4 linked regions of the Arabidopsis thaliana genome follow. The protein of the gene in region 1 interacts with the protein of each later gene in a pairwise test. Each region holds a gene or a part of one and is shown on either strand. Other genes may lie near its edges. The genes, in order: ERD4, PAP3, IQD6 and AT5G49540.

Region 1 (6,538 bases):
GTGGTTAAGGTGCAAAGTGGGTTTTTAAGTATCTACAACTCGAAAAGCGAACTCACACGGTACAACAAAGAAAGTGCATCTGAGCAGACGATGGATGAAGTGAAGCGGCTAGTGAATTTTTTTAAGGATAGAGGCGAAGAGGTAAGCCTAACCATTACCGGGCATAGCCTCGGAGGTGCGCTGGCGCTTATGAACGCTTACGAGGCGGCTAGAGATGTTCCAGCGTTATCTGGTAACATTTCAGTGATCTCGTTTGGTGCGCCGAGGGTAGGTAACTTGGCATTCAAGGAAAAGCTAAACAGTTTAGGAGTTAAGGTGTTACGTGTGGTGAACAAGCAAGACATTGTACCTAAGCTACCTGGTATCGTGTTCAACAAGGTACTTAACAAACTTAATCCGATAACTTCAAGGCTCAATTGGGTCTACAGGCATGTCGGAACGCAGCTTAAACTCGATGTCTTCAGTTCGCCTTACGTAAAACGTGATTCAGACTTAGGGAGGGCTCATAATCTAGAGGTGTATCTCCATGTTTTGGATGGCTTCCACCGCAAGAAATCTGGGTTTAGGGTTAACGCTAGGAGAGACGTTGCTTCGGTGAACAAGAGCACAGATATGTTGTTGGATCATCTAAGAATACCTGAGTTTTGGTACCAAGTGGCACATAAGGGTCTGATCCTTAACAAACAGACTGGCCGGTGGGTGAAGCCTGTCCGTGCACCTGAAGACATTCCCTCTCCGTTACCGACCGGACCAAAACCTATTTATAGCTTATGAGAAATAAATTTATTTTCCATTCCATTCATTCGTTTTCTTGAATCTTTAGTCCTTGTGAATTTTGGTTACAACATTTCAGTTCAATGAATATAGATCAAGCTGTGACAATAATGTATATATGTTTGAAACTACTTTAAATACAATTTGCATCAGCTAAAGAAATCAGAACATCAGAGTAGAAGAATATTAATGATGAAAAATCAAGTTGATGTTTAAAAGTAGCTTACAAAGTTACAAGTTACAACAACCATGGAACACATACAAAGAAGAATCCTAAACAAACCCTAAAATTCACACACATAACAATAAAAGCTTCTAAAAAACCAGCAAAACAAATCTATGAGATAATTTGGGGATTGGATTCAAATTTTAAACGCCTGCTATTGCGTTGAAATCTTGATAACGAGACATTGCGCCTTTGAACTCGTGTTCTTCTGGTTTGTGAGAGCTCAAGCTATGCGGAATGTATGCTCTGAAAATCTCCTCTAGGTCTGGACTCTGCTTCAGCTCACGGCAAGCTACCTCGAGAGCTGTGTGTTCGAACCCTCCGTAGAATTTCTGGCGGCACACATATCCGAAGATGAGAGAGGTGATAATGAGAGGGATCACAAGGGCCGTGTAGAAGAATGTCTTGGCTCCTAAGTAGCCAAACATTACCACTTGGAATAGAAACAACGCTGCTAGTATGCGCTGGTGAATATGCGGCCACATTCTTCCATAGCTCTCGTATGATGGAACGTACACTTTCAACGCCTGTCATACCCCGAAATAAAACAGTTCAAGATCACATTTTTGATAACCTAAGTGTTTATGGGTATAGTAAATAGAGAGAAAGTCTGACCTGATTCCTGAGGACTAGCCAGCCTAAACCAAAGTAGGTGATGCCGAATATGAGGATAAGAGGAGCAATGACTGAATAGCAGAACGTGATTGTGAGGATGAGCATGTCTCCGGGAACCCTAGTCGCATAGCTTAAGTCTCCCGGGTACCAAGCTTCTTTGACCTCCGCTTCGGTTTTGCAGAGATACTTCTTTTTCAGGTGGAAGATTATCAAAGGTATGATCCGAGACAGCTCAAGGCCATAACCGATAAAGAACCTGAAAAAAAATCATCAACATAAGATTTAGGGAACAAACGAACAATACATATGCTATTTAAGTCAAGAAGACCAAAATCTCACTTGAGAGCAACGTAGGTCAGGAAGAAAGTTGCGCTCTTAGGGAGGCTAGTAGCCAAAAGGTTAATAATCATGTCGAGTTTGGGATTTTTCGCGATATCCTTCACTGTGTTGAACAAAGTCCCAGCAAGGGTAACACCAATGAAGACATTAAAGACCGAGAAGTAAAAGTACTTCCCTGAAGCAGCCCTAATGGCATGGCTCTGTGAAGGAATCCCCTCGGCTTTGGAGAGAAACAAGAGAAGCTTCGGCAACATGGCCAAGAAAACAATGAGCGCAATCTGAGGAAGGAAAGACTCCAAAACGGTTCTTATGGCGGTTATCTCCACAACCGGCTTTATGAACGGAATAATCCTCTGAAGATTCTTAAGAGTGGTGATGGCAGAGACGAACGCGATTGGTATCATGTAAAACAGAATGGTCACTGCAACAAAGAAGTAGATGAAGTATTGCCGGATTATTCTGCTGAAGAGCTTGATGTTGAGATTCTGCCATAGGAGCTGCCGTGGCTCAGGAGCTTCGGTCACAGTCCATTTATCAACCATCTGGCAGTGCAGAGACTGAGCTGCTGATGCAGCAGCAACCCTGGTTGTGAAGAAAACCACTGCTGCGGTTTGCTGCTTCTCAGCAAGAACCGCTTTCTGCTCTGTTTCCAGTTTGGCTACAGACTCGTTGATTAGCTCAGTGTAATACTCAATGCTGTCTACTTGTTTACCGACTAGCCCACAGAAGCCGGTTTTGTTCGTGGGACGGTTATTAGTTGCTGCTAATATTGCTTCTGCTCGCGCAAGCTTCTTCTTGTAACCTTCCAATTTTTCCCATATTTTATTAACCTATACAACACAACAAAGAGCAAAGGTTAACATATTAACATTATGATGCCTAAAACCTTAAAACATATGACTTTCTTAGGCCAGAACAAGTAGATACCTTGCTGTTTTCTGTTGCGACAAGCGATCTGTAGAATGTCTCAGGGTATATTTCTCTGAAATAAGAATCAATAAACTCTTTCTGTGTCTGCCCGTCAGGTGGTGCAGGCATATCCCTAACAAGAATAGCGAATTGCTCGGGTTTTACATCAGCAGACATCAGAGCTTGAGCTCTCAATGAAGAGACATGCTTATAAGCTTTCCACAAGAAGAAATATGTGACCAAAGATATCCAGTAAACAGCTCCTAGGAACGCCCACAGCCTCGAACTTTTTTTCTGTTCAAATGAAAGGATACACATTTTGCTTTAGACTATCAAAAACTGAAAATGAATCAATAGGCAGAATGGAGTTATTGTTGTGTTTACTTACTGTGATGTTAGCCATTGATAGATTATCAAGTTGGCTAAAAGTTCCTTTGCTTGTGGTATCTGTCGCATTCTTTGTGTTCTTTATGTTGTTGTCTGTAGCGGCTAGAGGCAGTAGAGTTGGTAGGAGAAGAAGACTGGAACAAGCAAATATCCCCAGAACTGCATCAAACAAAAGCCAATTTTCAAGACATCATAAACACTTTACCTTCACCAAAATCACTGGCTCGTATATATAGACTTCAAAAAGTTCTATCTACTGATTCTAATTTCAATCACCAATGTCTAAAAGTAAAACAGAGATAACATAACATAGCAAACAAAATAGTCAGAGCCAGCAATTTACAAACAAAAAAGTTTCCATTTTGAAACGTTTTTTCCCCCAATTGTCTCTAAAGATCGAAACTTTATTAGGTTAAATCTCAAACCCAAATCAAAACCAACAGAAATCAGCAGAATTCCACCAAACCCTTGAATTGGAACCACTAAAGTAACAGAGAACAGAGATGAACAGAGAGAGATTGAGATCGAACCAGTGCTCAAGAAGACAAAGTGGACAGCAGTATCGACGCCGGATAAGTTAACGACATCTTGTTCAGAGGAAGTCAAAGCTTCACGCATCCAAGCAAAAGGGTTTCGAGTCAAGGAGGTGCCTTCCCATGGCTCCAGCCCTTTAAGGATCCGATTCGGGTAATAAATGGGAGCATTTCCAGATTTGCGAGAAAGCCAGGTGAAGAGAAGCATGAGAATGACGAAGATAACAAAAGATGTCCCTAAGGACACAAGAAAAGATCCAAACTCCATCTGGGTTTAGCCAGAGGAATCTCTCAAGCTCTCTGTTTCTTTCTAAATCTTCTCAAGTTCTCTAAAGTAGCCGTTTTTAAAGGGGTACAACAAAAGAAGGAAAGTAACAGTTTATATTGTCTTCTGGTAATTACAGGTGAGAGAAGACAGGCTTTTTCTTTTGTCACTTTATTGGTGTATTCACAGAAAAAGAAAGGAAGATATTTTTCTATTGTTTGTTTAATCTCTTTGTGGAATTGTGTAACGGAGGAGACTGGAAAAATTGAATATTGTGGAATTGATTAAATGGTGGGAGAAGGAGAAGGAGAGGTGTGTGAGAAGAGAGTGAAGAGCGTGTTTAAGTGACAAGGCCGACAGGTGTTGATGATAGAGACACCAAAGGAGATGGATTTTTTAACCCTACTTCAGGGTCCTCCTCCTCCTCTCTTTACCCATTTTGTTCCCTTTTTTATACGTTTTTATTTTATTGTATAATAAATTATTCTTTGGATTTTTCTCTTTTTGTGCTTTTGAAGTTTCTTCTATTCCCTTCTATTTTCTAGGTTTGTTTCAAAAAAGTACTCGTAAACCTTATTTACTACTACTTAGAGATCTTTGATCAGTATGACATGTTTAATGTATCTCTTAATATTTGGAAAAACATATGGTAAGAAATTACCTTTATTTCGCAAATATTTACGGTTATGGTGACATATCAATCATATAACAATTTAAGTTCAAAAAAATACTTGTATTACTATATAAATCAAAGCATATTTTGATTTAAACTAGTAATTTCATCTGAAATCCGGTTTTTCAAATAATATATGTTTTCATCCTTTTACTTAATAGACATCTTTATAAAATATATGATAGTATATTAAATTTACATAATTTGAATAACTCATAAACAATTTGCGAAATAGGTTCGTTTATGTCGAAGTTGAATATTGACTGTGTCGTAAGTAATGTGGTGGAAAAGCATTCTTGATGATATGCGTCATTTTACTCTAGTGGAGACGACCCTTGAAACAAATATATGCATCTGATTTTACACAAAAGCCTACGAAACACATCAAGATCGAATGTTATTTTGTATGTGATCAAATTCAATCAGAGGTAATAGCAACCAACCACATCTCATCAGACTCCTCTACGTTTCTTTGAATTCTAAGATTAGAAAGAGTTCAATTTCTTCTTTGAGATGTGGAGCATTCGTGATTCCATGCTTTAACTTGAACGGATATTTGAATTCTAATCTCATAACTTGTCCACTCAACAGAAACAAAACAATTTTTTCTTCTTTTTTCCTTGGTTTTTTTTTCCTTAGTTTTGTTGACTGCTTGTAGGGAATACCAGTTATTTGGGTACTCTAATTCATATTTTTATTTCCTCCAATATCAATATTCCTCTATATTCATTCTTCTTTTACTCTAAATATTCCACCAATCACACATTATTTTATTTGTATTTTATTATAAGCATTCACCAGTCACATGCACTTTATATGTTTGTATAGTTTACGTAAGAAAAAATTGTCTTGTACGTGTGTAGAATAAAAATTACGGGGATCCACACAAAAAAAAAACTTTTATGCAGTTTCAACAAGTTTTGAAATATAAAACCAAAAAAAAAGAACTAAAAACAATCGAAAGACGTCCACGACATGCTGTATTTATGTTTTACCTCATTCTATTGTTTTAAATTTTAATACTAGTGTATATCTCTTCGCCATATTTTAATCAGAAGATAAATAAATTATTGGTTTTCTTTTTTTATACAAAGAAAATTTATTGTTTTGTTTGGTGTGTTTCCATGCATGACCAGTCATGTAATATTGGTCCAATACCGGTCCTTAATTCCTTTTATGTCGATCGGGTAAAATCCACAATAGATAGATCGAAAATATATGTTATTTTTGGCATCCAACTGAATTAAATAGATAACACAAGTCACTGGACAAAACAGTAGATTTCCACTGAGACAAACCATTAATTTGGGAGAATAAATTCATAAATCTATATATAATTTATGCGAATGTGATAAAAGTTGTTATTCACAAGACAAAAGAGACCCCAAAACAAAACAAAAAGCCGTTGTCCAGTTGTTAATGCCACCTCGACGTAAAACTTCATTGCCGACACCGAAAAAAAGCTTGAAAGGGTCCCAAACCTTATCTTTATTATATGTCGATCGAAGACCCTAAAGTCTTATCTACAATGATATTTCTGTTAGTATTTGTTATTTGAAAGTAACGCCGTTCACAGATTTGGTTAGGTGGCTATTGATCCGGTCCAAAGCCCTTTTGCTGATATTTATTTCTCTTCTATTTTCACGTCGACATGTACACATACAAAGACCCACCACTTCATCTAGTTTCTTCTACTTACGGTATTAAATGATATTTCAAATATCAATGAAATTTCTCAAGTGTCTATTTTAATAAGTTGTATTAGCAAAAATTTATATAGAAGTTTTTGTTAAGAGACTGAAAATATCTAAATTTAA
Region 2 (5,514 bases), 5.7 Mb from region 1:
CATTCATAAATAAAGAAGTCAGCTGATGAAGATTATACAACAATCTTTGTCATAAACTACGTAAAGATAATGAAGTAGCTAGTCCTGTATATATTATCTTATGTTTCCTGGTACTAGTTCTGGTGCGACTGCTAAAATCTAAATTGTCGTCTTTAGATTAACATTTGTTTTTTTTTTCTCTCTATGAAAGTACTAAATTTTCATAGGATAAGCCATTCAAAATATCAATTACAGTGACTATTGAGTATTGACTAATATTATTTGAACTCACAACTCACCTACATGTATTAATGTTTGCATTATTTTAGTGATTGCTAAAACACATAAGTGTCACATGACATATATATCATTGTTTAGGCTAAACATATTATATATATGGTCTATATTATAGATATCGATCCAAGTCTATTAGCCAATCCAACACTAAAACAATCCTCTTGTAAATGAGTAGCTCATGACGACATTATTCTGTTTCATTTTGGAAGCATTAGCATCATTTCCACACACACGTGTTGACCTAAAAAGGCCTATATTTGTTCTATTTATAAAGCCTTAAATTAAAGACTCAAGCAATATCACATGGATCTAATATATAATCATATGTTGCATAGAAAAAAAGAACAAAAAAGAAATAGAGAGAGGTGGTTGAATGATTTAGGCTTTACATCAAACCCACTGTTTCAATAATTTTGTTAGGTGTGTGTGTGTATGTGTGAATACAGCTAGAGAGTTTCACGAAGAAGCTGGTTGGTCAAAACTTTTGACTCGAAAGGAATTGCTGACAAATCGATCAATCAATTTGCTTCAGAGAGAAAAAAAAAACACATAAACACAATTGACATCTCTCTATCTATACGGTCCGATACTAGACTTGGCGAACCAAACTAAAGATACAGTAGGACACTGTGACTGTCTAGGACCACCAGAGATATTCAGTGAAGTTTCTATAGTCATCATAAGTCAATCTTGCTGACTACATCATACTAATAGGAACTATAGTCGTAAGGAACATATATACCACATTAAGCTTGTTTCTTTTGATTAACTCCTCAAGTTGTTTTCAAAATACTCGACGAACTAGACTGAATCAGCAATAAGACCAAACATGTAAAATAAACGTTGCAGAAGTTAATGCTCATTAGTTTTCTCTTTTGTAAGAACATACAAACACACAGGTGACAAGTTTTGGCCAAGAATTACAAAATAATATGATACCTTCATAGTCATACCTCAGAATTAATGTCCTAGTCGAGAAGCAGAAGTTTGTTTTTATAGATCTTTCTTTTCATTAGAGAAATGGGTATCGGCCCAATAACATAGGCCAACCCATTTGCATTTATTTTCTCATATCCAGTAAGGATATACTTTCAAATTTTTGTATAAATGGGATTTTGATTTTTCTTTAATATGTTGAACGAATTTAGTAAACTATTCACATTATTTTATGTTCAGAACTATACTGTAAAATAACTAACGGTCAACAATAATTGAGAGAATTTGGAAGTTTTCGTTAGACTCACATCAATAATGTGACTCAAAGCTAATAATTGCAATTTCCGACAAATTTGTGGCATGGGCGTTTATGCTGTCTTCTACTCTTCTTGTATGACAACGCACATACCCGAGCTTCGTAAATTTTATTTCTATTTTTTTCAAGTATATTTTGTTTTTAAAATGCGATTTTAGAAAGAATTTGTGTGATCAGAATTCACGGTGTAATAATAGTTTGTATGCATACTGTTGTTTGATGTGTCATAATCCAAATTTAGATAATATGTTTATGTATAATGTTAGAAATAAAAATGTAGTAGAAATTTACGTATATTTTCACTGATAATAGAAATTTTCAAATATCCTTAAACTGTCAATATCCAATTTCTTTATGTTTAAAATATTTCAACAGCTAATTTTCAACCGCTATTTATTTTATTTAAATTTATCTTGTCATTATATTTCGTTATTGATAAATATCTGAAAAAGTGGGTGACAAAAAAATTACCGATTCAAATTATTGTAATAAAATTGACAAATCAAAAGATTGAAATAGAAAACAAAAATGGACTACATTTCTCAAAATGGCAAATAATTTTTATTCATATTTATCAACCTCGAAATGACCTACATATATAGAGACACAAAGATCACAACAAAATCAACCATTCCTTTCCTTATCTTCTTCCTCTTTTGCTTTTCTAATCTCTCAATGGCTACCTTAAAACACAAACCTGTAAATTTGGTATTTTACGTTTATAATTTGATTATTATATTCTCCTCCCATAGTTCCACGGCGGAGCTCCGCAGGCTACTGCAGCCATCAAAAACCGATGGTACAGTGAGCTTTCTCGTTATCGGAGACTGGGGAAGAAGAGGCTCCTATAATCAGTCCCAAGTAGCTCTTCAGGTTACTTCTTATTTTCATTTACAAGTTATTTACTATATTTCTCGCCTGTACGCATATATATAAATATATAATGCAAATTCAATAGTGTATAATTAATACGTATTACGTAAACATATATATGCGTATGCCTTCAAGAGCATACGTGATATGAGGATCAAATTTACTGGTCTTCATATTAATGCCGGCCCTTATGTTTTTATATTATTCTTTTTTTTTCTTTTTTTTATTATTATTATTCAATTTCAATATATATTACTAATTCTTGAACACCATGTTATAAGATACCATAAAAAGAAAGAAAGTCATGTTAGAGGAACTTGAAAGATTCGGTCTGTGTTAAGAAAACAGCTTTAGTGTACGAAGATATTCTACATATGATTTTTGTTTGTACTGTTGTTTTGCAGATGAACTCAATGTGGTAAATTTTATGCTAGTTTGATGTTTTCTTTTATACTGTTGTTTTTAGTTATTTTATGCTAAATTATTTCACACGAAATTTAAACAGATGGGAGAAATCGGAGAGAAATTAGATATCGATTTTGTGATTTCTACTGGAGATAATTTTTACGACAATGGTTTAACCAGCTTGCACGATCCTCTATTTCAAGATTCTTTTACCAACATTTATACCGCTCCGAGCTTGCAGAAACCTTGGTATAGTGGTAAATGTGTGGTTCAATGTGTACATTCGTCGTTGGATCTTAATTATTAAACGATATGTGGTTCAATGTGTTAATTACATTTTCTTTAACCTAAAGTTTTAGGAAATCATGATTATAGAGGTGACGTCAGGGCACAACTTAGCCCTATGCTCAGAGCTCTGGACAACAGATGGGTTTGCATGAGATCTTTCATTGTAAATGCTGGTAATTCCTCCTATATAATATTTCTTCAAAAGTTAGAAATATTTTATTAATCCTCCAATTATTTTTTTATTTTTGTTAATTTCGTTAACTGAACAGAGATCGTCGATTTGTTCTTCGTCGACACAACTCCGTTCGTCGATAAATACTTTATTCAACCAAATAAGCATGTTTATGACTGGAGCGGTGTATTACCTAGGCAAACATATCTGAATAATCTCTTAAAGGTAACAATTTTTTAAGTAAATCTTCCTTTCTTTCTTTTTTCGTCGAAATAGAATTAATATTAACTTAGGAACGTCATTATATACGTGTTTTGGGCAAAACATTCCTTTTTCTTTTGTTATGATTGGATTTTTTTATAAAGTTATGATTGGATGTTAAACGCAGCTTTTATTTTGTCTATTTTCAAATGGAATCGCGTTTTAATTAGGTATGTAATGCGATATGATTAGAGAACAATCTGCCAATGCAACTTTTTTTCTTTTTACGAGCGAGTGACTAACGAAAGCTATAATGTAATAATATAGGAACTCGACGTGGCGTTGAGAGAGTCAGTCGCAAAGTGGAAAATAGTGATTGGTCACCATACGATCAAAAGCGCAGGCCACCACGGGAACACCATTGAGTTGGAGAAACACCTTTTACCTATTCTCCAAGTAACAAAACCATTCCATTCATATAATAAAGTTTATGCACCAATAGAAAAAATCTATCTAATTAAATCTGTTTTTTTTGTTCTCGATTTACTAGGCAAATGAAGTGGATCTCTACGTAAACGGACATGATCATTGCTTAGAGCACATAAGCAGCGTGGACAGGTAGAATAAATTTATTTATTTGTTCGTTAATTATTTTCTTATTAATCAATTATTGTAACGTAAGGGTCCACGTACGGGAGGATATAAAATGTCACCATTTTTGGTTGCATATAGTAACATACAATTTATGACAAGTGGAGGTGGATCCAAGGCCTGGAAAGGAGGTGACGTGAACTACGTTGAACCAGAAGAGATGAGGTTTTACTACGACGGACAAGGTTTCATGTCGGTTCACGTTTCAGAAGCTGAACTGCGTGTAGTCTTTTATGATGTTTTTGGACACGTTCTGCATCATTGGAAGAAGACTTACAAGGAGGCGCTTTATTTCGCTTCTTGATTCCAATTTAATCGGACGTAATTGTTTATGATCGATGTACTATGAAATTATCAATATCGTACTTCGTCGAATTTTCGAATCACATTATGATATGACAAGAACATATCAGCAGCATCAGAAAAAAAAGTCAATGAAATCTTTATTGCGTAAAAGTACAGTTTCAAACAAGATATTATTGAAAATTTGTAAGATGTGAGATTAACTAGAAATACTGCATGCATATACTGTATATACATATCGAATCTAAGCATATTAAAATGTAAATATCATCCTCTCTTACGCTTCCATATTAATTAAGTTAATTAATTTTCGTTATTCTTATCCAATTTGATTAACAAGTTTTCCCGAAGCATGCGTGCATACAGTACTCTTGTGTAGTTTGTAGGGACACAAAATGGGTCCGATTCTCATCTATAAAGATAGATAATGATTTTGTTACATGTCTTTTGTCCTGTGCTCAGATTCTCTTCAATCATGTAATATATATAGATAAGTTATAGTGAATTATGGATTATATGATAAGATAAATGATATACAACTCTATGTTGTGGATGAGATTCTGTCACATAATTTCACAAGCCCCGGATCTCTCATATTTGATCGCAAGAACACTTTTGCTCATACCAAAATTATCTCCCAAAAGAAATATAATAGTCATTCTATTAAGGCTTATCTTATTTTACTTTTGGTGAGACTTAATAGAGTGGACAAAGGAATGAAGACATGGGCCACTGCCATGAACCATGGGACCGAACACACAGCTGAACTTGTATCACACAACAGAGATAAAGGCTTCATATCTTAGCTTTCGAATCCCAAAAAATATTCCAAGAAGAAAAAAAAAAAGTAACTTTCTTGAGAATCTTGAGACACTTTGGAGAAAAACAAAGGTATATATATATATGCATGTGTAAGAAGATATTATGATTCAGTCGAAACGAGGCAGAGATAGAATTTGAATAGAAAGGAAAGGATATAGATGAATGATTTTAGAGAAGAGAGTAGAAAACGGGTAACTTTTCCTTGTTTTGACTCTCCTAAAAATAATTTCTCAAGTGGCAAAAACAAAACGACATTTCATCGAATTCACCG
Region 3 (4,529 bases), on another chromosome or scaffold:
AGAGTGTTGAATTGATTTAATAGGATATTGCAAATGATGATGAAAATGAGGTGGATTAAATTGTGTTAAAAAACAATAGTTGGTTTTGATTTGCTTTTTTTTTTTGGTATCAGGAATTCAATCTCTGGATTTCATCGTCAATGTATTATGATCCTCAATTGAAAAATGGCAAAAGATTTTATTTAATACAATATTTTTGTGTTCTCTCTTCTAATTCATTTCATGGGTTTCATGTAGAGTCTGTTTCCAATTTATTTATTTGTGTGTTGTAATACTCTATGATTTTGATTTATTTTTAGTTTGTAACATATTGTTTCTATCTCATTTCCTCTTTAAGAGCTATGCCACCACCATTCTGGTTGATTTGTGAGTTAGCACATTAATCGCTAATGTACATCATATCAGAAACAACTCTTGACTCGATTTTTTTTACTTTCATTGTATGTTTAATGTAGTTTTTTCTTCAACATTGGGCCACAATTGGCCGGCCCATTAGCCAGACAAACAACTCTTGGATCGAATTTTTTTCCTTTCATTGTGTATTTCATGTAGTTTTTTTTCAACATTGGGCCACAATTGTCCGGCCCATTAGCCAAATCCCTACATTTGTATCGAGCGGGACTCAATCCCAAGTGTGATGGTGCATGTTTTCGGTGGTACATGTTTTCATGTAATTTTTGTTTTATTATTTTAAGAAGTTATCATCAATTAGAATTAATTGTATATATCTCATTTTCATTGTATAGCTAAGGACCCAATCTTTACAGAGTTCATCTTTTTTCTCTGTCTGATTAATCTTTTTTTTTTATTATGTCTAATTAATCTTAAAGTTGCTAGACAAATAGATTCATGTACAAGATTCACTCAAACTAAATATGAGCGAGAAAAAATAGTATATATATTGAAAACTAAATTTGGGAGATACATGGGCATTTTTTTCGATTCTTTAACTCGTGAATTTAGGTTGTTCTTTTGTCGTTTCAGTTGTTGTTTTTTTGTATCAATCACTCGTGAATTTAGTTTTTTTATGAGAGCATAATTTATTATAATTTGCAATAGAGTTGTAAAGTTTAAATTGCTATAACGCTGTTTTGTGGAGAGTTAAATAGGGTGTTGACTGTTGAGTCATAAGACCAATGTGTATGGTCTTAGAAAGAAAACCTTGTCATAATTATATAAGATAATAAGTTCTGTTATAGAGGTTATTAGACAAGTGATAGGTCTAACCAGTCCAAATCACAAAATCCAAAAGCTAAACATTGCTTTTCGAAAGAGAATGTATTTCGTAAATCTGATTTGCAACATTTTGGGAAGTTTAAATTTCGAATCCAATGATATAAGAATAATAAAACAAAACAAGGTATTACATGAACATGAGTGAGTCACTGTAAAAAGTAAAAAACAACAAAAAGCCTAACATACATATATATATATATTTATTAATTTATTGTACCTTTTCATGGTTTCTTTTTTCATGCCTGTAACTCTGAGAAGGACACAGACACATTTGTTTGTGTAAGTAATAAATAAGTGTGAAAACACAATCAGAGACAAAAGCCTAAAGACTCGAGCAAACTTTTTATTAATATTTTGTTTGTTGCTTTGCTTTGATTTGTTCAAATTTCAAAAACTTCTCTTTAACCCACCACTCCCTCCATTACCACCACAACTTCACATTCTCCGATATTCTCTCTCTCTCTATCAATCTCTCACTCTCAAACTTTCTACATACCTGAAGAAAAAAATAATCTACGAATTCGAGCCAAAAAGATCGAAACTTTTTAATCTATGGGTGCTTCAGGGAAATGGGTCAAGTCCATTATCGGTCTCAAGAAGCTAGAGAAGGATGAAATCGTAAGTTCATTATCTTTTTTTTTTGTTCTCTCGTTCAAAGGTTAAAGCTTTATCGAGAGATACTCTGTTTTCAGGAAAAGGGTAATGGGAAAAACAAGAAATGGAAGCTATGGAGGACTACTTCAGTAGATTCATGGAAGGGTTTTCGAGGAAAACATCGGTCTGATTCAGACGGTGTTGATTCTTCTACTGTTTACTCTGCTGCTGTTGCTACTGTTCTTAGAGCTCCTCCTAAAGATTTCAAAGCTGTTAGAGAAGAATGGGCTGCTATTAGAATCCAAACCGCTTTTCGTGGATTCTTGGTGAGTTTGCTAATTGGTTTTGATTAGAATTGAGAGGAATAGAACTTAGTTTAATTTGAGGATTTGTTGTTAATTAGGCGAGAAGAGCGTTGAGGGCATTGAAAGGGATAGTGAGGTTACAAGCTTTAGTGAGAGGAAGACAAGTTAGGAAACAAGCAGCTGTTACATTGAGATGCATGCAAGCTTTGGTGAGAGTACAAGCTCGTGTTAGAGCTCGTCGTGTGAGGATGACTGTTGAAGGACAAGCTGTTCAAAAGCTTTTAGATGAACATAGAACCAAATCTGATCTCTTGAAAGAAGTCGAGGTTCTTGTCTTTACCTTTTTAGCTCATTGGTTTGATGATTGTTTATTGTTTTGAGATTTGTTATGTTCTCAGGAAGGGTGGTGTGATAGGAAAGGTACTGTGGATGATATTAAGTCAAAGTTGCAGCAGAGACAAGAAGGTGCTTTTAAGAGGGAACGTGCTTTGGCTTATGCTCTTGCTCAAAAGGTAACTAACTTGTCCACATTCAACATCTTGTTTAAGTTCGTGTCTGAAGCTGAATCGGGAATCTTGTTTTGTGTAGCAATGGAGGTCAACTACTAGCTCAAACCTTAAGACGAATAGTTCGATTTCGTATCTTAAAAGTCAAGAGTTTGATAAGAATAGTTGGGGATGGAGTTGGTTGGAGCGTTGGATGGCTGCTAGGCCATGGGAGACTAGACTTATGGACACTGTTGATACCGCTGCCACGCCTCCTCCTCTGCCTCATAAACATTTGAAATCACCGGAAACTGCGGATGTTGTTCAAGTTAGAAGAAACAATGTGACCACTAGAGTATCTGCAAAACCTCCTCCTCATATGCTGTCTTCAAGTCCTGGTTATGAGTTTAACGAGAGCTCAGGTTCATCCTCGATTTGTACTTCAACTACGCCTGTTTCTGGAAAAACTGGACTTGTTTCAGATAACTCTAGCAGTCAAGCAAAAAAGCACAAGCCAAGTTACATGAGCTTGACTGAATCGACAAAGGCTAAGCGAAGAACTAACCGCGGTCTCAGGCAATCTATGGATGAGTTTCAGTTTATGAAGAACTCTGGAATGTTTACAGGGGAATTGAAGACTAGTCCTTCCTCAGATCCTTTTGTTAGTTTCTCCAAACCACTCGGTGTTCCTACTCGATTCGAGAAGCCGAGAGGTTAAATGTGACCTTGTTAGATTGGAGTTTCAACAGCTTGTTGTTGTCTTGTGTGTTGTGAGATATCTGTGTATGTTGTTAATTGTTCTTTTTCCTTTGGAACTACATTGGAGTTTTGAATTTAAATATAAATTTCAGTCTTGCTTTTATTTCACTTGTTTCAAGAATCAGAATCTTTTGATGGTTCTGAGCTTAACCCCGTTCTTGAAGCTGAGAATTATACCATAATCAAGCTGCAGTGGTATCTCCATTTCTAGGGAATGTCTGAAAATGTAATTACGGTAGAGATGCAGTAATGTGAGTTTGATCTCTTGCAGGGCAAATCTCTGTCCAACACAGGCTCGTGGACCGATACCGAATGGGATGAAAGCGTATGGATGTCTATGTTTCTCCTCTTCTCCGTTCGGATCAAATCTTTCCGGCTTGAACTTCTCCGGTTCTGGAAAGTTTTTAGGGTCCTTTGCTAGAACTCCTAGTGCTAACCAAACCCATGTCCCCTAAGCAACAACCACAAGGTAAGTAATAGATTACAAGTGCTGACTGTAAATGGACTAATCCGCTTGATGGGTTTGAATATACCTTTGGGAGTAAATAACCTCCTATCTCCACTTCTTTAGCAGTTTCCCTTGCAACCAAAGGAGAAACCATGTAGAATCTCATAGCCTCTTTAATGACCTACAAAGGAGGCAAATAAAAAACATTCATAAAGATTCTAATCTCTCACAGAAACTCAACTTCTCGGTTTTTGTTTGTTACTAATGAAGCACCTGATCGAGGTATGGAAACTTGTGTTGTAAGTCATGAGCAGTCGGGATCAGATCACGGTTCCCAAACCCGTCAATTTCTTGAAGCAGACGTTTCTCAACATCAAGATGACCAGAGACTAAGTAAAGAACAGAGGATAGTGTGAAAGCAGTGGTTGCAGAGCCAGCAAGAAGATGCTCATAAGTCACAGCACTAATATAATCCGATGTGAAGATGTTTTTGGCGAAAGGATCGGACTCTCGAGCTTTCAAAATCAATGACAAGAAGTCTTTTGAGTCAGTCTCAGCCTCCTTGGCTCGCTTTGACACAATCTCATTAAGTTGTCCACTCAGTCTTGCATTAGTCTTCTCGACTCTCCAGTCCATTGTTCCCGGTATCCTCTTCAACACCTGCCTAAACGGCTCTTGAAGAATCGGAATCAGTAAGCCTAA
Region 4 (4,823 bases), on another chromosome or scaffold:
AGTGCTATTAAGAACTCAGATTACAGCTCTGTAAGGATTCCATGTCGTTTAAGTCCCTCACTCTCTGGATCAAGAGAAGATAGATTTCTCTATAGGCGGAATTGGTTTTTTTTTTAATTACACCATCTAGCTAATTATCTGGTGATTTGTTGTTTAATTGTTGTGAACAGGCAACTACCAAAATAAACTTGGCTGTTGACAAGTTACCACAGTTCCAGTGCTGCAACACAAATCATTCAGGTCCAGGTCCAGAGCATTTTGGCACTATACACATTGGTGCAGAGAGGTATCATTCGTGCTAATTTGTTCCTCATTATATGTATCTCGAAGAACAAATAATAATACAAATAAAAGTGATCAATGGCTCTGTTCTATCTTCTCTCTGTCAGCATGGACGAGGTTCACTCAGCATGTCATGATTCTGAAAATGGCTTACCATCGAGAAGACCAGTGATCGAAATGACTATTCCATCCACACTAGACAACACCATTTCTCCCCCAGGTACACATTCTCCCCCTTTTGCTTGTTTAGGATTTGAACTCTGAATGTGATTTTGTATGTAGGGAAGCATGTAATCAACTTGTTCATCCAGTACACTCCTTACAAGCCCTCAGATGGAAGCTGGGAAGATCCTACTTACCGAGTTAGTTTGTTATACACGCTTGGCTAAACATTCCTTTACACTACAAGACATGCCAAACCCATCTGGATTTGCTTTTGCTTGTGTAAAAATCAGGAAGCCTTTGCACAAAGGTGTTTCAAACTGATTGATGAATATGCACCCGGGTTTAGCTCATCCATCATTAGCTACGACATGTTGACTCCTCCGGACCTGGAACGGGAAATTGGTCTAACAGGTATATAAAGTGAAGTACTTGGAGAAAGATCCCAAGTACATGCGACATGGCCAAACCATATTGACATGACTGCCCATTTGTATTCTGCAGGCGGAAACATCTTTCACGGTGCCATGGGATTAGACTCTCTCTTCCTGATGCGCCCTGTGAAAGGATGGTACGTGACTCCGAAGTACTCAAAACAGTCTTTACGATTTATGATTATGAAATTCAAAACTTTGTTGGACTGTGTGAAACAGGTCAAATTACAGAAGCCCTTTGAAAGGTCTCTACTTGTGTGGCAGCGGAGCTCATCCTGGAGGCGGAGTTATGGGTGCACCTGGAAGAAACGCTGCACATGTTGTTCTTCAAGACTTGAAAAGAATCTAGCGAGTATAATCTCAGACTGTGCAATGTTAACTCTCATGTGTAAGTTGTTTGTTACTGCTCTGAAAACCTCTGTCGTAGGGAGAGGCTTACAGACATGGACAATAGTTGATATCAACGAATAATAAGCCTCCACGTGTAGCTTAACCTAAATATCACTAATTCAACAAATATGGAAAGTGCCCTAAACAACAGAAGAGCCATTGTTTATTTGTCTTTGTCTTTGTCTTTGCGAAAAGAAGTAAATATCCTCATCAATGGCGGATTCACGAGATGATCTAGCTGAATCGCTACAAAATCTATTCACGAGTGTTTCATCTATGGTCAAATCCGAGCTCCAGGTGAAAATCAATCCGAAATTTTACAGATTTATTTGTTTCCACAGATCTGAAATTGAATTGGATAAAAATAGGGAACGAACAACCATCTAGATCTATTGGAGAAGATGAACCTGAGAGTTGCGTCAGAGTACGATGATATGGGTGACGTGGCAGCTGGGCTCAGAGTTTTCGCAGAACAGATGAAATCAAAAAGTGGTGGCTTGGATGAATTTGTAGGACAAATGGATGCTATCGAGAAACAAGTGTCGGAGTTTGAAGCTGTGATCTCTGTTCTAGATCGATATGTCTCTGTCCTAGAATCTAAAATCCGAGCTGAGTATCGTCATCCTCATCATCAGCGTCGCTCTAATGATTCTGTTGTTACAGACTGATGCATTGTAGCAATAATTAATTTTTATCATTACTGAGATTGTTGGAATCGAGATCTGGAATGCTATTTTGGTTTTAGTTGATATTGAAGCTAGATACGAATACGACGAATGATTTTGTCTACATTCGGTTTAAGTTTAACCAAAACTGAAATTTGCATAAATCAATCTGGAACCAAACCAAACGAAAAGCACCTAAGTTTTTTTTTTACCGCTACTCCATATATAACCATTTACCGTACTTACTAATGCATTGGTTAAGTGTTTTGTTAAACATATTAAAACCTCCTAAGCAAACAAAACCAAACCGAATTAATTTCAGTTTGAATGTAATAGCGATGGTTTTATAAAACCAAAACTTGGAACAAACTGAACTGCTCATCTTTAGTAGTAAGTAACGAATTTTCATAATCACAAATTGTGATGTATAATCATGTTATCCGTTTCAATATCAAGAAATTTAACTAGCATAGTTGGAGAGTGTTGTTAATTTTGATTAGTAGTGGACAATCCGGTTTAAGGTTTGGTTCCGGTTCGATTTTACGGTTTATATATTACTTGTTTTCTCTGTGTTTTTCTTTTGTCTAAAAACACTCTAAAGAACTTAAAGATATTCGTCTGATTGTTCTCTCTCAAATTGGCTCATCCTCTCCATTCAATTCATCCCAAGTACCAAAGCAAGCTACTTCGATCTTCCTCTTACTACTCTCGTTTCTAATTGTAAGTCTATATCAATTCCTTTTCCAAAGTTTGTGTAGATCTCAAAGTAGTAGATCGGAAGAGATCGATAAAACCAGATCGATTAATCATAGTTGCTCCCACTCTCGACTACTTAAGAGATAATCATAAAGTCTTAACCTTTAGGAATCGAAATTTATTGTGATGCTTAGATAGCGAAACCCAGTTATAGAATCATTGAATCAATTAGAAACCCCTAATTTTCCTGTGGAAATTTGCTTAAAATCAATACTTTTTTGGGTTTGTAATCTATACACTTACTCTATGATGTCCAAGTTCTTCCTTTTTTGTTACTGTAATGTAAAATCCAATACAAAGATTTGAAATTTATGTTGTTTCAGATTGTTGTTATCTTAAATGGGTTCATCTGAGAAGAGATCAAAGGATATCATGAGTGACATACCAACTTTCAGTGCAGAGAATTTGCAGAACAATTTGAAAGTCATTCAAAACAGGTCTGATTCAATACAATTCTCTCTCTTTCGTTTTCTTAAAAAGATGATGGTTCTCGGGTTTTTTGACTTGTTATCCCTCATTTTGTTCGTGTTTGCAGCCGGACGTTTCTGTCTATCATAGCTGGTGTCTTAGCAGGAATAATTGGATTCAATGGCTTGATTGGTTTTGTATTTTACTTTGTGGTGATGTTGATCACATCTGTTGGGCTCATGGCTAAGGCAGGATTCTCAGCTGACTTGTACTTTGATTCGTGGAATCGGGTTCTTTTTGACGGTTTTCTTGGTGGCCTTATGGTATATCTTCATTTCCTTTTCTTATTACATTGTTTGTTGCTTCAAGATACATGTTGTTGATCCAACCTGTTAATCTCATACTAATCGCGGTGTTGTTTTCTTTTTCGCAGTCGTTTGTGCTGTTCTGGACGTATCCTTAAACTCAATTTGGTGGTCATACTCATTTTATGATAATGTGCAAAACTAAATCAAAGGTTGATTAGCTTTATGGAAAAACATCTATGGTATGGTGTAGGTAAAAATGATTAGCTTCTTAAGAACCTGTGATTAACATAGAAATGGCCTTTTTGTTTACTTCGTGTAGAATCAAGTATATGCGCAACTCGAAAACAGCTCTCTCTATTCTCTGTTTGTCTCAGTAGGTTTCCTTAACAATGGAGTAGATTTGCGTATGACTTGGTGCACATATTCTGAGGGAACTTCTGCTCCAGATGAGGATGGTGAAACGGCACACAAGATTGAGTTCGGGTTTTGCAGCCTCTTCATCTAAACTGAATTAGATTGACAATGTTTCTCTTGTTCCCTTTTTGAACAACAGTTTATGAGTTCGTATTACCTTTTTTTGTTATTTGAGATCACATCAAACTGTGAAAACCTTTAGATTGAAAAGTTTCAAGTATTTACACTTTCTTCCAATTTCATGTGTTCACATTGTTGTTTTCTTTTTTTTTTACATTCTTGCATGTAAAATATATTCGAATATGCTTAAGATTTCAATAGAGAACATTAGAACACTCTCTGTCAAGTTTGAACTTAGCCGTCTATGTGTATTGTATAGTTCTTTTGTTGCTTCTTATGTTTATTTTCCTGTGTTGGTGTGGCTTGTCTTACCAACTCTAGTTGAGTAATAGAAAAAAGGTTGTTTGATTTCAAAAAGGAAAAACAAAATATGAATATCTCATAACTACTGAACCGTTTACTCATATCAAAATTTATAGACCATTAAAATCTAGTCATGATGATTTAATAAACTCATCATCGAGCTTTCTGTAAAACCCATCCTGAAGAGTTGGTTTCACAGATCTCGTGCATCACCTGTCACACAACACACAGAGTTTAGAGACTAAAACTACGCTTTGGTCGAAACACAAAAAAAAAGTCAAAGAGAGCTCAAGTGAAGACCTTTATATATTCGTTGTTGGTGATTTCACGTTCAAGTTTGGTCCTGCCTGCTGCAAATACCTCAGCCTTCATAAGCTTTGTTCCAGGTGGAGATCCGGTTAAGAGGCTAATGACCACTTCCCTGATGATAAAAACAAAAAAAAAAATCAGAGAAATTAGAGATTCAACCGAAATAAAGAACCAATGTGATCATGTTCCAACAAAAAATAACCTCAAAGAATCATATTCAGGATGGTCTGGAGACGATATGGAGACATAAGACCCGTGAATGTTAGTAGCCA

Evidence for each region.
Region 2: the proteins of ERD4 (region 1) and PAP3 interact in a protein complementation assay, tested with the Arabidopsis thaliana proteins (one large-scale study listed by BioGRID).
Region 3: the proteins of ERD4 (region 1) and IQD6 interact in a protein complementation assay, tested with the Arabidopsis thaliana proteins (one large-scale study listed by BioGRID).
Region 4: the proteins of ERD4 (region 1) and AT5G49540 interact in a protein complementation assay, tested with the Arabidopsis thaliana proteins (one large-scale study listed by BioGRID).

Annotation. Positions count from the first base shown.
Region 1 is NC_003070.9:10,713,405-10,719,942, reverse strand, and holds ERD4 (Early-responsive to dehydration stress protein (ERD4)), read right to left. Parts: upstream 4,462-6,538; 5' UTR 4,052-4,461; coding exon 3,781-4,051; intron 3,410-3,780; coding exon 3,252-3,409; intron 3,158-3,251; coding exon 2,882-3,157; intron 2,785-2,881; coding exon 1,955-2,784; intron 1,872-1,954; coding exon 1,616-1,871; intron 1,528-1,615; coding exon 1,144-1,527; 3' UTR 946-1,143; downstream 1-945. Other genes in the region: DLAH (alpha/beta-Hydrolases superfamily protein), read left to right, coding at 1-774. UniProt on the Arabidopsis thaliana protein: Acts as a hyperosmolarity-gated non-selective cation channel that permeates Ca(2+) ions. Mechanosensitive ion channel that converts mechanical stimuli into a flow of ions: activated in response to membrane stretch. Not activated in response to membrane poke.
Region 2 is NC_003070.9:5,056,567-5,062,080, forward strand, and holds PAP3 (purple acid phosphatase 3), read left to right. Parts: upstream 1-2,016; 5' UTR 2,017-2,113; coding exon 2,114-2,401; exon of another isoform or gene 2,402-2,819; intron 2,820-2,906; coding exon 2,907-3,063; intron 3,064-3,159; coding exon 3,160-3,267; intron 3,268-3,363; coding exon 3,364-3,491; intron 3,492-3,794; coding exon 3,795-3,923; intron 3,924-4,017; coding exon 4,018-4,085; coding exon of another isoform or gene 4,086-4,089; exon of another isoform or gene 4,090-4,199; coding exon 4,200-4,422; 3' UTR 4,423-4,574; downstream 4,575-5,514.
Region 3 is NC_003071.7:11,142,242-11,146,770, reverse strand, and holds IQD6 (IQ-domain 6), read left to right. Parts: upstream 1-1,667; 5' UTR 1,668-1,788; coding exon 1,789-1,854; intron 1,855-1,928; coding exon 1,929-2,156; intron 2,157-2,233; coding exon 2,234-2,461; intron 2,462-2,533; coding exon 2,534-2,647; intron 2,648-2,723; coding exon 2,724-3,338; 3' UTR 3,339-3,481; downstream 3,482-4,529. Other genes in the region: CYP711A1 (cytochrome P450, family 711, subfamily A, polypeptide 1), read right to left, coding at 3,501-3,830, 3,913-4,008, 4,101-4,529. UniProt on the Arabidopsis thaliana protein: May be involved in cooperative interactions with calmodulins or calmodulin-like proteins. Recruits calmodulin proteins to microtubules, thus being a potential scaffold in cellular signaling and trafficking.
Region 4 is NC_003076.8:20,103,815-20,108,637, reverse strand, and holds AT5G49540 (Rab5-interacting family protein), read left to right. Parts: upstream 1-2,359; 5' UTR 2,360-2,653; intron 2,654-3,012; 5' UTR 3,013-3,028; coding exon 3,029-3,126; intron 3,127-3,224; coding exon 3,225-3,420; intron 3,421-3,530; coding exon 3,531-3,550; coding exon of another isoform or gene 3,551-3,560; exon of another isoform or gene 3,561-3,803; coding exon 3,804-3,834; 3' UTR 3,835-4,157; downstream 4,158-4,823. Other genes in the region: AT5G49555 (FAD/NAD(P)-binding oxidoreductase family protein), read left to right, coding at 1-30, 171-286, 390-502, 565-644, 738-858, 949-1,015, 1,098-1,227; BLOS2 (biogenesis of lysosome organelles complex 1 subunit-like protein), read left to right, coding at 1,482-1,565, 1,637-1,936; AT5G49530 (SIN-like family protein), read right to left, coding at 4,396-4,455, 4,543-4,663, 4,754-4,823.